Linked DNA regions of Mus musculus. The protein of the gene in region 2 binds, or shares a complex with, the protein of the main gene of each other region. Links are inferred from orthologs where the notes say so. Each region holds a gene or a part of one and is shown on either strand. Other genes may lie near its edges. The genes, in order: Bad, Bcl2l1 and Tpt1. A codon is read from its position in the direction of its gene.

Region 1 (3,640 bases), on a different chromosome or scaffold from region 2:
CATAGCCTCACCTTCAAGTCTGACCTACTCCTTGAGGCCCTGTTGTGGGGCCACCCCCTCCCATGTTCCGGGAAGCAAAGAGTTGTGGCGCAACTTATCTGCATATCCAGCGCAAAGCACTAGCCTGGGCTATGGGGCGCCAATAAATCTCTGAACGGAGCTCTGGGCCCTGCTCCAGGTCCCTGTGAGAAGCTTCTACGTTCCCTAGCGATCAGTCTGCCGCCCCGCGCCGCCCCGCCCCACGTGTCTTGCCAGGTCCCTGAGCTGCGCTGGCCCCAGGCCGGTCAAACAGTAGCTGCTCACAAGGACTGACCCAAATAGGAGCAAATGACCCCCCTCCCGCCTGCCCCCCGGGAGCCGCGACATGGTTTGCAGAACGCTAAATTCCGGCGGCCGGTTGGACTGCGGCTCCCAATTACCATATTAGAGATAAGGGGCTGGCAGTCCCAAGGGTCTAGCCACGCTCCTCTTCCCCACCCAAGCCAAGCAGCCCGACTCCGCGGGTTGCCTCTTCTTCCTCTCAGTCCTTAGAGCTTGTTTCTTCCTCCGGTAAAACGAGTCTCTCTTAAAACTATCAGGGATAGAGATCCGGATTGCGGAACCCCAAACGAAGGATAGAGGCGCGGCGGCACATGCGCAGGCTTTATTATAAAGCACGTTTCTCGCGACCTCGGGTCCCCAGTTATGACAGGACAGCACCCAGACCCCCAACTTAGCACAGGCACCCGAGGGCAGTCCAGAACAGGAGAGGGAAAACAGCCACTTCCGGAGGCTTAGGGGGTGGGGTGCGTGGAAAACTTTGAAACTCCAAACAGGAGCCACCCCTCCGTGGCTATTGCACGCACCGGAAGGGACTCAAGCTGTACGTCAGCTCTTCTCCCTGTTAAAGGGACACAGCGATCCTCTTTTTTTTTCCTAAGGCCTCGAAAGACTTCCGCCCACACCCAATATGGCGGGCGACGGGAGCGGGTAGAGTTCCGGGATGTGGAGCAGAAGATCACTGGGAGGGGGTGGAGCCTCCTTTGCCCAAGTTTCGATCCCACCAGGACTGGATAATGCGCGTCCAGCCGGCGCTTTGTCGCATCTGTGTTGCAGTGCCTGCGCTCTTTGGGCGAGGAAGTCCCTTCAGGGAAGGAGGAGGAAAGAGTGAGCCTCATTCTGGCATCCCGAATCAGGTCCCCACCACCAGCTTGCTCTGCACTGGGCGGTCAGAGACACGGGATGATGCGTGTGCCGGGATCCTAAATGAAACTGCACAGCCAGAGATCTAGTGTTTAGAGGATGGGGAAGAACTCAACAATTTAAAGTAGCTTAAGAAGTTGGGGAGAGGCTCAGATGCCAGCAAGCCTCGTACTCTATGAACCTGGCGGTTCAGAAACTTTGGTGTGAAGTTGGTCTGTACTACAGATTTCGGTTCTCATAGCGGTCCGGCTGTAAGAGCTCTCGATTACAGGTGAAGGCATAAACCGGGACTGGGGACGGGGTCTTGGACAAAGGAGGAAGAGGGAGGAAATCCCAGCAAATCACTGGACACTGAGAGAGGACGGATTAGAACTGCAAGTCCCAGCATGCTCTACAACACAAAAGGGAAAATTGGTGGCTCTGAAACTAGAAATCCCGACATGCCCTAGATCAAAGGAGGGGTAGCAGCTGAGGGTTCAGGTCCCATCGCACCTAACGCTGGCGCTCACCTTGAAGGAACCCTCAAACTCATCGCTCATCCTTCGGAGCTCACGGCCGTAGCGCTGCGCTGCCCAGAGATTGGGGGGAGCCGAACGCGAGCGTCCTCGAAAAGGGCTAAGCTCCTCCTCCATCCCTTCATCCTCCTCGGTCCCCGCTGGGTACGAACTGTGGCGACTCCGAGTCTCCATAGCCCCTGCGCCTGCAGAGGTCAGGGAGTGGAAGAGGTGTGACTCTCTGGCCTGTTATCTGTTCCACAGCCTTAGTCCCTCCTTTGTGAATGCAGAGAACTCGGAGGGCTTTTGTGAGAAATCGGTTAACTTCCACAAATCCTAGTACAGTGCATGTAATGAAGTCTTTAGTGTACAAAAAGTTTACAGTGTCTTTCATAAAATACGGACATAAGCTATAACTATCACATGGTCTCATAGCAACCCTTACATAGAGAGGTGTCTTGCTGTGTCTTTGCAGGGGTCTTGGAAAACAATGGTCTGCGTCCCCTATTGTGCCTTCCTTGTGAGACAGTGTCAAGAACTGTCATCACTCATCCGTTTTATTTTTCTGAGACTGGAGTATGTACGTGCTAAAGTATCCTCCCCACCACCTGGTTCAACAGACACAGCATGGTGGCTTGAGCTGGGTGTGGTGGTTTATATTTATAATCCCAGAACTGGTGAGGTCCAAACCAGAGGTTTAAGGTCAGCCTAGACTACAGGAGAACTTGTCTTTTGCCTCACAAAAAAAAGTGTGGGGTGGGATGGGGGACACTGACCTACGAAGACACATGCACACAATAGCTACACAGGTGGTCAGAGAGGTCACATTTCCTCAGGTTAACATGGTTGTTAAAGGCCTGAGGCCCGAAGTCCCTGGGTTTGGAACCCAGAGCCTATCAGGCTGTGCAGCTCTTGCCTTGCCCAGCCACCCTTCACTTTTACTGAGGTTCTCTTCATGAAGGGACAGTCTCACCTCGCCTACATACTAACGCACCCCACCTGTGTGAAGGTCGCATCGGTGTGTAGACATGTCCTGTGAGCAGCAAGAGCATTGTGGGTGATCTCCTCTGGTCTGGGTATTATGTGCCATCCTGACGTCTGCCATCTGTACCCCTCTGTCCAGACCAGTGAAGACCCAGAACCACTCCTAGGGGCAGAGTCCAGAGCTAAGCACAGCCTGCTGCCCACACCCAGGTATCTGCAGGCTTGGGAGGAGGTAAAATCACCCACATGTTCAGGGGTTGATAAATTTGCTTCCCTCTCTCAAAGGTCAGCTGTCAAGACTCTGCAGCTCAGCTGTAGGATCCCAGCTGCAGACACGGGACAAAAAGCAGAGATAAGGGGGGGGACCCTTATGAAAGACGTGGCCAGGTCTGCTCCAAGCATCTGGCCAGGACCCAATATCATTGCTCACCTACAGAGTGCTTTCACTAGACTCAGTAGCTGGGTGGGCTCCCTTTTGTGATCTTGGACCCATTTCCCCAGTTCCTTGTCACCTCAGTCTTTGTCTGTGGCACAGGGACAGCCTGTCTCATAGTCACCACTCCACCCTGTCCTTTGAGCATCCATTGGTTTCTTGGCTCCTGTGTGGCAGATGTGGAGTTCTCCCATCTTACATAGAAGTCTGACACCGAAAGGAACATGCCTGCCTTGTGCTGGTGCAGCCCATCAGCACCGAGTAATGAACCTGAGCCCTGGAATCAAGGCGTTTGTGTGCTGAACTGGTGGTGGCAAGGCGAATGTCTTCCAGGTGGCCTTGGTTTGAGCTCAGCCTCCCCTCCTTCATGAAGAAGCAAAACAAGGGCTGGTGAGATTGCTCAGCCAGTGGAGGAGCACTCAGTACAGCCAGATGAGCTGAGTGGGGCCGTGGAATCCATGGAAAGGGAAAAAGAGCCCCCACTAGCACCCGGACACGTGGCACCCGCACCCCTTCCTGAACAAATCTGCTTTCAGAAGCTACGTTA
Region 2 (2,777 bases):
GCTGCCTGAGAAAGAGGCTTGCTGGCCTCAAGGCTATCGTGTCCACGTGCTGGCTGTCCCACTGAGTCATGTACTCTTCTGATGACTAAGCTTCGTGGCAGAGAGCATTCCTCCTTGGTTCAAGACTGACAGCCCTGGGGTGGGGACAGGAATGGCCTCTCTATGTCCACGTTAAATGTTCTGCTATGTTTCCCCCACCTACTAGCCAGCTCTGGCTGAGGCCCTCTTTACAGGGGGGAAGAATCTCCTGTCTGAACATCCCAAAACCACTAACTGAGTGCCCCAGTGAAACTGCTCTGAGAACCTCACCTCCCTGTAGTCTAGTAATGGACACCTGACAGTCGTCTTGGTGTCCACTCAGCCTCTAGTGCTATGTGATGACATCCTGTGTGCCACCTCCTGCATGCCCCTGTCTCCTAGTAGTCCCTGCTGGTGTTCGCTCCAAGCTGTCTGTTGCTTTTTAAGGCATAACACACTCTGCACCTGTGTTCTCAGCAGTAAGCCGGGTTGGTCTTCCCCAGCTGGGCTTCAGAAGGTCAGCCTTTAACCTTTTCTCTAACCATGGTGGGCACTAGTGCTGTGACATAGAGATGCCCCATTCTGCCCATTTTGCTCAAAGATTCACACAGTATCTATCTTTCCTTCTCTGTCCCTATAGGACACTTTTGTGGATCTCTACGGGAACAATGCAGCAGCCGAGAGCCGGAAAGGCCAGGAGCGCTTCAACCGCTGGTTCCTGACGGGCATGACTGTGGCTGGTGTGGTTCTGCTGGGCTCACTCTTCAGTCGGAAGTGACCAGACACTGACCGTCCACTCACCTCTCACCTCCCACCCTGCCCCCACCACAACTCTCTCTTCAGCCACCATTGCTACCAGGAGAACCACTACATGCAACTCACGCCCCTTGCCCTATCACAGGGTTGGGCCTAGACGGAGTCCCCTGCAATTAGCTTTCTAGGATCTACCACACTTCTGTGAAAGCCACCTTCCCCCCACATCTCAGTTCTCTTGGCCTCAAAACTCACAAGGTTTTCCCCTAAACCAGCTCCTTGGAGGCTGGCAGGAGCAGAGAGGGGTGTGTGAGGGAGGAGAGCCTGTCTTGTTGGTGGGACCCTAATTACCCCTGAGCCTCTCGGGAATGCTTTTCCAGCAGGGAGCTCTTCCCCTGAAGGAGACTAGCTTGCCTTGGTTTTGATGTGTGTGGCCTCAGACGTGATCATTTCCCATCCCGCTGTGTCTCTGGGTCTCCCTCCTCCCCATCTCCACCCCCCAAGAGCCATTGAGTGAGGTGCTTTTAGCCCTTTTGACTAATTAGAAATTCAGGCTGCTTGGGATAATGAGACAAGGACCAGAACCTCCTCCCCACCTGTGGCCTGGCCAAAACCCCCACTTGTGGTCTGAATGTTCTCCTGAGGCCTCTGGCTAGAGTCTAGCCCCACCCAGGGGGAGGGGCTTAGCTGCTGAAAGTCCACCTTGCTAGAGCTAGGGTGGCTCTTGCAGCTTAGCACCCCCCAAGATCCTTGTCCACCCCTCCCCTGGCTCCCATGACCATGACTGAGGGACCAATGGGCCCAAGATAGGTGCCCCAGAGCTGTTAATGACTTCAGCTGCCTCACTTCCTGCAAGATTGGCCTGTGGCATCTTTGCCTTGGGTGTTGGCCACAGGGTCAAGGGACTCTGGCCTCAGCCCAGAAGTGAGGGGAAGCTATACAGAGCAGCTGTGGGAACCCCAGGGGCTTCCCTACCTCAGGCAGGAAGGGCAGGAAGAAGAGCCTGGAGCCCAGGCGAGGGGGACGGCAAGGGCCTGTCTTTGTGCTCTGCCCCACCTAGCCTGGGCAGCAGGGCTGCCAAGGTCAGAATGGCCTGGCTAGGAGCCCTTCAGGCCTCTCTCTCCTCTGTCCACCCTTGGCCTGTCTCATCCCTGTGGGTCCCAGCTCAGCTCTGGCCACCCCGGGCTCTCTGCTGTACATATTCGAGACTAGTTTTTATTCCTTGTGAAGATGATATACTATTTTTGTTAAGCGTGTCTGTATTTATGTGTGAGGAGCTGCTGGCTTGCTGTGCGCGTGCCCGTGGAGAGCTGGTGCCCAGAGACTGACAGCCTGATGCTCCCTCCCTGCCCTTGCCTGGGGAAGCCCACCAGGGGTTCTGGCTTCTGAGGGGCACCTGTCCCTCCTCTCCCCTCACCCTACACTTGTTCCAGCTCTTTGAAATAGTTTGTGTGAAGGTGAAAGTGCAGTTCAGTAATAAATGGTGTCTGTGACTCTGTGAACCACAGCCTTGGCTCTGCGCCGCATGAGTAAGGGGGAAACTGCTGGGCTCTGGCTCTGCTGCCTGGGATGGGGTGGCTCACCAAGTTCCTTCAGCCCCAGACTTCTTTCTGGTCTCCACATTTCTGTACACTACTGGGAGAAGTGGTGTTAATTGAACATGCTAAGAGCTGACATTCTGGTGAGCCCAACAGTCACAGTTGTTGGACAAGAGTTTCCTGAGTCCTGTTGTAGCATAGGTCTACCATTTTAAGACTAGCGGAGAAGATAGGTGTAGTCTGTGGTGCTGGTTGGCTTAGGGCTTTCATGAGAAATCCAGTATCTTCTGGCAAGACGTGATGACAGACTTGAGGGTAAACTGACCAAATCTGAGGTAACGTTATTAAGATAGGTCTCAAGAGTTTCACATGAATTAGAGATGGTTCTAGAGAAAAGATGACGCTTAGGGCTGGAGCAGTGGCTCAGAGGTTGAATGTTTGCTGCACAGACCTGAGGACCAGAATTTA
Region 3 (4,246 bases), on a different chromosome or scaffold from region 2:
CTCCAAATAAATCACGGTCAAAATAAAAGCTCAAGATGACATCAGTCCCATTTGTCCTAAGTCCTGGTGTTGTATGGATGGTAAGCAGCAGCCAATTATGGTGACAGGTGATAGATCCAATTTGTTACTGCAAAACAAAGAGATGGCATTAACAACTGCCCCAGCCTGAGCTTATAACTGTCCTAGCATGTAGATGTACTCCCTAATTCAATCTGAACTGCCACAAAGGCAGGCAGGAAGCGCAGGGAGAGTTTCCTTTTGCATCCTAGTGCAAACCAGAAGAACAACCACAAACTGTTCGAGGTCTATCAGTGGATGCAGACCCTCACCGAGTTGGCAGCACTCACCCATCTTCCTGCCCACTCCAGTGCTCTACTGACAAACACCAGCTGTTGTCTGAATAACACTCCTACCCCACTGTCCCAGGCGGTCACCCACTTTCTCCAGTACATCTCTAAACTCACCTTCTACTGTGCTTACAAAAAAAGCCTCCAAAATCTAGGACAAGGAACACTGTCTCCACCAGTCCCTTATAAAACAGACATTTCTGTATTCCTTCTTACTGACCTCAGTAAACACTGAAACATCCTATTGCATGTAATATGAAATGGACTTGAACTACCGTGGGGCAGAGACCACACTCATTCTACGTGAGTTTATCCCAGGCCAGTGTCAAACTACTTACACACATGACCCTGAGCACTCTAGCAAGCCAGCTAATCTCATCTTCAAGCCCCTTTCATGTTCAAGGCTCTACTCTCCCACAGGATAAAGATCTCACAATCTACAAGGCCTGCCACCTGCAGATGGCAAAGAATCACTGCTGCACTCCCTGTCTTGACACTACTAATTTAAAGATACTTACACATTTCTCCATCTCTAAGCCATCCTTAAAGAAAATCATGAATGGAGTCACACCATCTTCACGGTAGTCCAGGAGAGCAACCATACCATCTGGATTCATGTTTTCACCAATAAAAAACTTAAGAAACACGTAACAAAAACCTACAATTAGACTATCTTATACACACAAATATAAAATCAAACTATAAAAAGCAGATCCAGAATAACCCCTGGCCAAAATTTGGCAAGAAAAACCCCTAGTTCTCAAAAATAACACATATGCTAGCCATGTTGGCACACACCTTTAATCCCAGCAATTAAGAGGCACTGGCAGGTAGACCTCTGGGTTCAAGGCTAGTCTGGTCTACAGATAACAGTCTCAATGAAAAGAAAGCAATGCCTATCATTTTAATACCAGCTCCTTGCCTGGTGTGGTGCTACACAAAATGGGCTGAGACTTTCATCTCAGAAGGCTGAGGTAACTGGGTCTAAGGGTGTTCCAGGACAGCCAGAGCCATGTACGAGACAGCAAACAGACTTTTTCGGATCCCACAGTTATTATACAACCCTTTGGTCCATTTACCTGGTAGTTATTGAAATTAGCAAGGATGTGCTTAATCTGCTCTGCAGCTCCAGTCATAAAAGGCTTTACTCTTTCTGGTTTCTGCTCTTCAAGTTTGCCTTTGAGTCTAAAACAGTAAAGTAACAGGTCATCAAAATACTGAATAATCTTTCAGTAAAGTAAGAATATAAGCTCCAATAGGTAATGTCTTCTAGCAAAATGATAGTTTACTAGGTGACAAGAAACCATTTAAAAGAATGTAATTCCTATATTACCTTTAAAGTAACTTTCTACCGGCTTGCTCACATTATTGAAAATCAACCTTCACTGTATAACAAAAGACCCTCCTTTCTTAAGCCCTTCCTACCTAAGCAACCAACTTCTTCTAGGAAGCTGACCACCAAAACGGGGTGTTTATGTCACTTACGATTTCATGTAGTCTTTGATGTACTTTTTGTAAGCCTCTTTTGTGAAGCTGGTTTCTTGTAAGTGATGGTTCATGACAATGTCAACACCGGTGACTACTGTGCTTTCGGTACCTTCGCCCTCCGGACCTTCAGCGGAAGCATTTCCACCGATGAGCGAGTCATCGATGGCACCCTCTGTTCTACTGACCATCTACATTTAGAAGAAAACAAAACAAAACAAAAAGACAATACAACTTAGTCGAAGGGGCAAAAAAAAAAAAAAAAAAAGAAAAAAAGAGAAAAAAAAAAAAAGGTCCGGCAACGATCAGTCAGCTCCCTGAAACATCTTAACCTCCCCCCAAATAGTCGCTGCCCGGACTGAGAGAGGTGGTCACTCTCATCAAGCGGAACCAAGTTGCTGTGGCCTCTCTCGAGTCGCCACGGGTTAAGCGCGCACAGCGCAAACCTGTCTTATAGACAATATGTCCCCGTTCGCCCGGAAAGAGGATGGCGCTGAGTTCGCGGACCTATTTCCAGGCTCGGCTCCGCCTCCACTTTTCTAGAAAAACCCAAGGTCCGCAAGAGCGTCTCCTCCGCCTGGAGGCGGCAGCGAGGATTGCACGAGTTCCAGCGGCCTCCCCGCGGCGCCCAGCCCAGCCCGGCCCGGCTCGGCCGACCCGGCAGGCAGGCGGCCAGCCTCCCCGCGCGCGGCGCCCCGCTCACCTTGCCCTCCACCTCCAGGCACAGCCCGTCCGCGATCTCCCGGATCTTGTAGATGTCGGAGAACAGCTCGTCATCTGAAAGCGAACAGAGAGAGCCGCCCGTGAGCGAGCGAAGGCCCGCCATTTCCCGCGCCGGGCTCGGCGCACGCGGCGGCTCCCGGCCCAAGCTCTGCGCTCGTGTCCCCGGCCTCCCCGGTGCCCACCCGCACCCAGGCCCGCGGGCGCCGGGACTTACGGCTGATGAGGTCCCGGTAGATGATCATGGTGACGGCTGGGGACGGCGGCGCTAGCCTGACAGCGCGGAAGCGAGCGCGGTGCAGCCGGAGCGGCGCGCGGGGGGAGGGGGGAGCGGGCGGAAAAGGCCGACGCGGGCGCTCCCCAACCTCATATAGAGGGCACGCTCGGCTACGTCACCGTCCGCGGCTCCCCCGGAACTGTCGTCAGCGGTGACGTGAACGCAGGGCGGTGCGGGGGCGTGGCTACGCCCGGCCGGCCCCGGGAGGGCATCCGGGGACTCTGCTGGGACACAATGCGGAGTGCCCCTGGGTGCGCGGGGCAACGGGGGCGGTGTGCGGATAGTGCGCCCGGGGCATGCTGGGACGGGAAGGGACTTGCGGCCGACCGATGGCCGGACGCTTGAGTCGCCGCCCGGGCGTGGCCAGGGTGTGACTGCGCCCCGCCTCCCGCCACGCCGCTTCAGTTCCCACCCCTTTCTCGGAAAGAAAATGTCAGCAGAATCGGATGACTGTTGTCGGGCGCGCCGCTGAGCCTGCGGGGACTACGGGGATGGCGCCGGGCTGGTGTCCCGGGTCTCCGACCTCCGGTCCTTGGCTGCCCACAGACTGCACCGGTTTTGCTCGCGGAGGGAGATGTCCTGGGGACTGGTCCTCTAGTGGGTTCCGAAAGTGAAAGCCTGCGGTGGGTCTGGCCGGACAGCTCTTCGCTGGCCTGTTCTGCTCTTGGTCGCAAACGGTGTCCTTTGTTAGGACAGTTCTGTATTGTCACTTTTATCCCTTTTATTCCTGGCGATGCAGGACTAAACAGACCCAAAATAAGGAGCTTCCCACTTGCCCGGGTCACTTGAAGGGCTTTCGCATCCACCACGAAGTACAACATACAACTTCCGAGACCCACCGTTCAGGTAAACATGTATGGCAGGATGAAATCACAGTTTCTTCCCTTCCAGATTTGGTTATAGTCCGTTGTAACCCTAGTGTTGCAATTTTCTCGCTTAAGAAGGACATAGCCAGCCCTGCCTGCCCTCGGACAGAAGGTTAGGTTAGTATGTCAAAGGAGAAGGCAGTTCACACTAACAAAGTGTTACAAGCACAGAGTAAACCATTCAGGAATAAAACTCTAGCCAAAGAGCAGAAGAAAAACCGTCCACTTAAGATGCGGTGGTCTGCTGCTTTCCTAGATACTCTAAAGGACACGGGGTAACAGTAAAAAAGTGAAGGACATCAGAAAACGTAGACATAGAACCGAGGGGCTATGACTTAGCAGTCTCAAAACTCAGTTATTTCTGAGTTATGTGAATCTTATTTGCACATCCCAGGTATTCATTTTCAAATTATTCAAAAATGCTCATTTACATAGATCCCCAAACATATTCTTTTTGGATTTTTCTGTTATTTTCTCCAGTTTTATGCCCAAATGTATTTTTTTAACATCATTAAAAATTTTTTTTTGTTTTTGTTTTTTCGAGACAGGGT

Evidence for each region.
Region 1: the proteins of Bcl2l1 (region 2) and Bad are in contact, whole or in part, in a crystal structure (PDB 2BZW), measured with the Mus musculus proteins. Residues at the interface, in NP_001276645.1 of Mus musculus: Ala93, Glu96, Phe97, Arg100, Tyr101, Arg103, Ala104, Phe105, Leu108, Gln111, Leu112, Gln121, Ser122, Gln125, Val126, Glu129, Leu130, Arg132, Asp133, Asn136, Trp137, Gly138, Arg139, Val141, Ala142, Phe146, Asp193 (codon at 671), Leu194 (codon at 674), Tyr195 (codon at 677), Gly196 (codon at 680); in NP_031548.1 of Mus musculus: Ala137, Leu141, Ala143, Ala144, Gln145, Tyr147, Gly148, Arg149, Leu151, Arg152, Met154, Ser155, Asp156, Glu157, Phe158, Glu159, Phe162, Lys163.
Region 3: the proteins of Bcl2l1 (region 2) and Tpt1 are in contact, whole or in part, in a crystal structure (PDB 4Z9V), measured with the Homo sapiens proteins. The link is inferred for Mus musculus from reciprocal best matches to the Homo sapiens genes BCL2L1 and TPT1. Residues at the interface, in NP_001304848.1 of Homo sapiens: Ala93, Glu96, Phe97, Arg100, Tyr101, Ala104, Phe105, Leu108, Gln111, Ser122, Gln125, Val126, Glu129, Leu130, Asp133, Asn136, Gly138, Arg139, Val141, Ala142, Phe146, Leu194, Tyr195, Ala199, Ala200, Ser203; in NP_003286.1 of Homo sapiens: Phe14, Asp16, Ile17, Lys19, Ile20, Arg21, Ile23, Ala24, Asp25, Gly26, Leu27, Cys28, Leu29.

The regions. Positions count from the first base shown.
Region 1 is NC_000085.6:6,948,882-6,952,521, reverse strand, and holds the end of Bad (bcl2-associated agonist of cell death), read right to left. Parts: intron 1,883-3,640; coding exon 1,692-1,882; intron 1,124-1,691; coding exon 998-1,123; 3' UTR 617-997; downstream 1-616. UniProt on the Homo sapiens protein: Promotes cell death. Successfully competes for the binding to Bcl-X(L), Bcl-2 and Bcl-W, thereby affecting the level of heterodimerization of these proteins with BAX. Can reverse the death repressor activity of Bcl-X(L), but not that of Bcl-2.
Region 2 is NC_000068.7:152,780,164-152,782,940, reverse strand, and holds the end of Bcl2l1 (bcl-2-like protein 1), read left to right. Parts: intron 1-658; coding exon 659-796; 3' UTR 797-2,277; downstream 2,278-2,777. UniProt on the Homo sapiens protein: Potent inhibitor of cell death. Inhibits activation of caspases. Appears to regulate cell death by blocking the voltage-dependent anion channel (VDAC) by binding to it and preventing the release of the caspase activator, CYC1, from the mitochondrial membrane.
Region 3 is NC_000080.6:75,843,980-75,848,225, reverse strand, and holds the start of Tpt1 (translationally-controlled tumor protein), read right to left. Parts: upstream 2,971-4,246; 5' UTR 2,798-2,970; coding exon 2,770-2,797; intron 2,610-2,769; coding exon 2,536-2,609; intron 2,024-2,535; coding exon 1,833-2,023; intron 1,533-1,832; coding exon 1,427-1,532; intron 983-1,426; coding exon 866-982; intron 304-865; exon of another isoform or gene 192-303; intron 128-191; coding exon 125-127; 3' UTR 1-124. UniProt on the Homo sapiens protein: Involved in calcium binding and microtubule stabilization. Acts as a negative regulator of TSC22D1-mediated apoptosis, via interaction with and destabilization of TSC22D1 protein.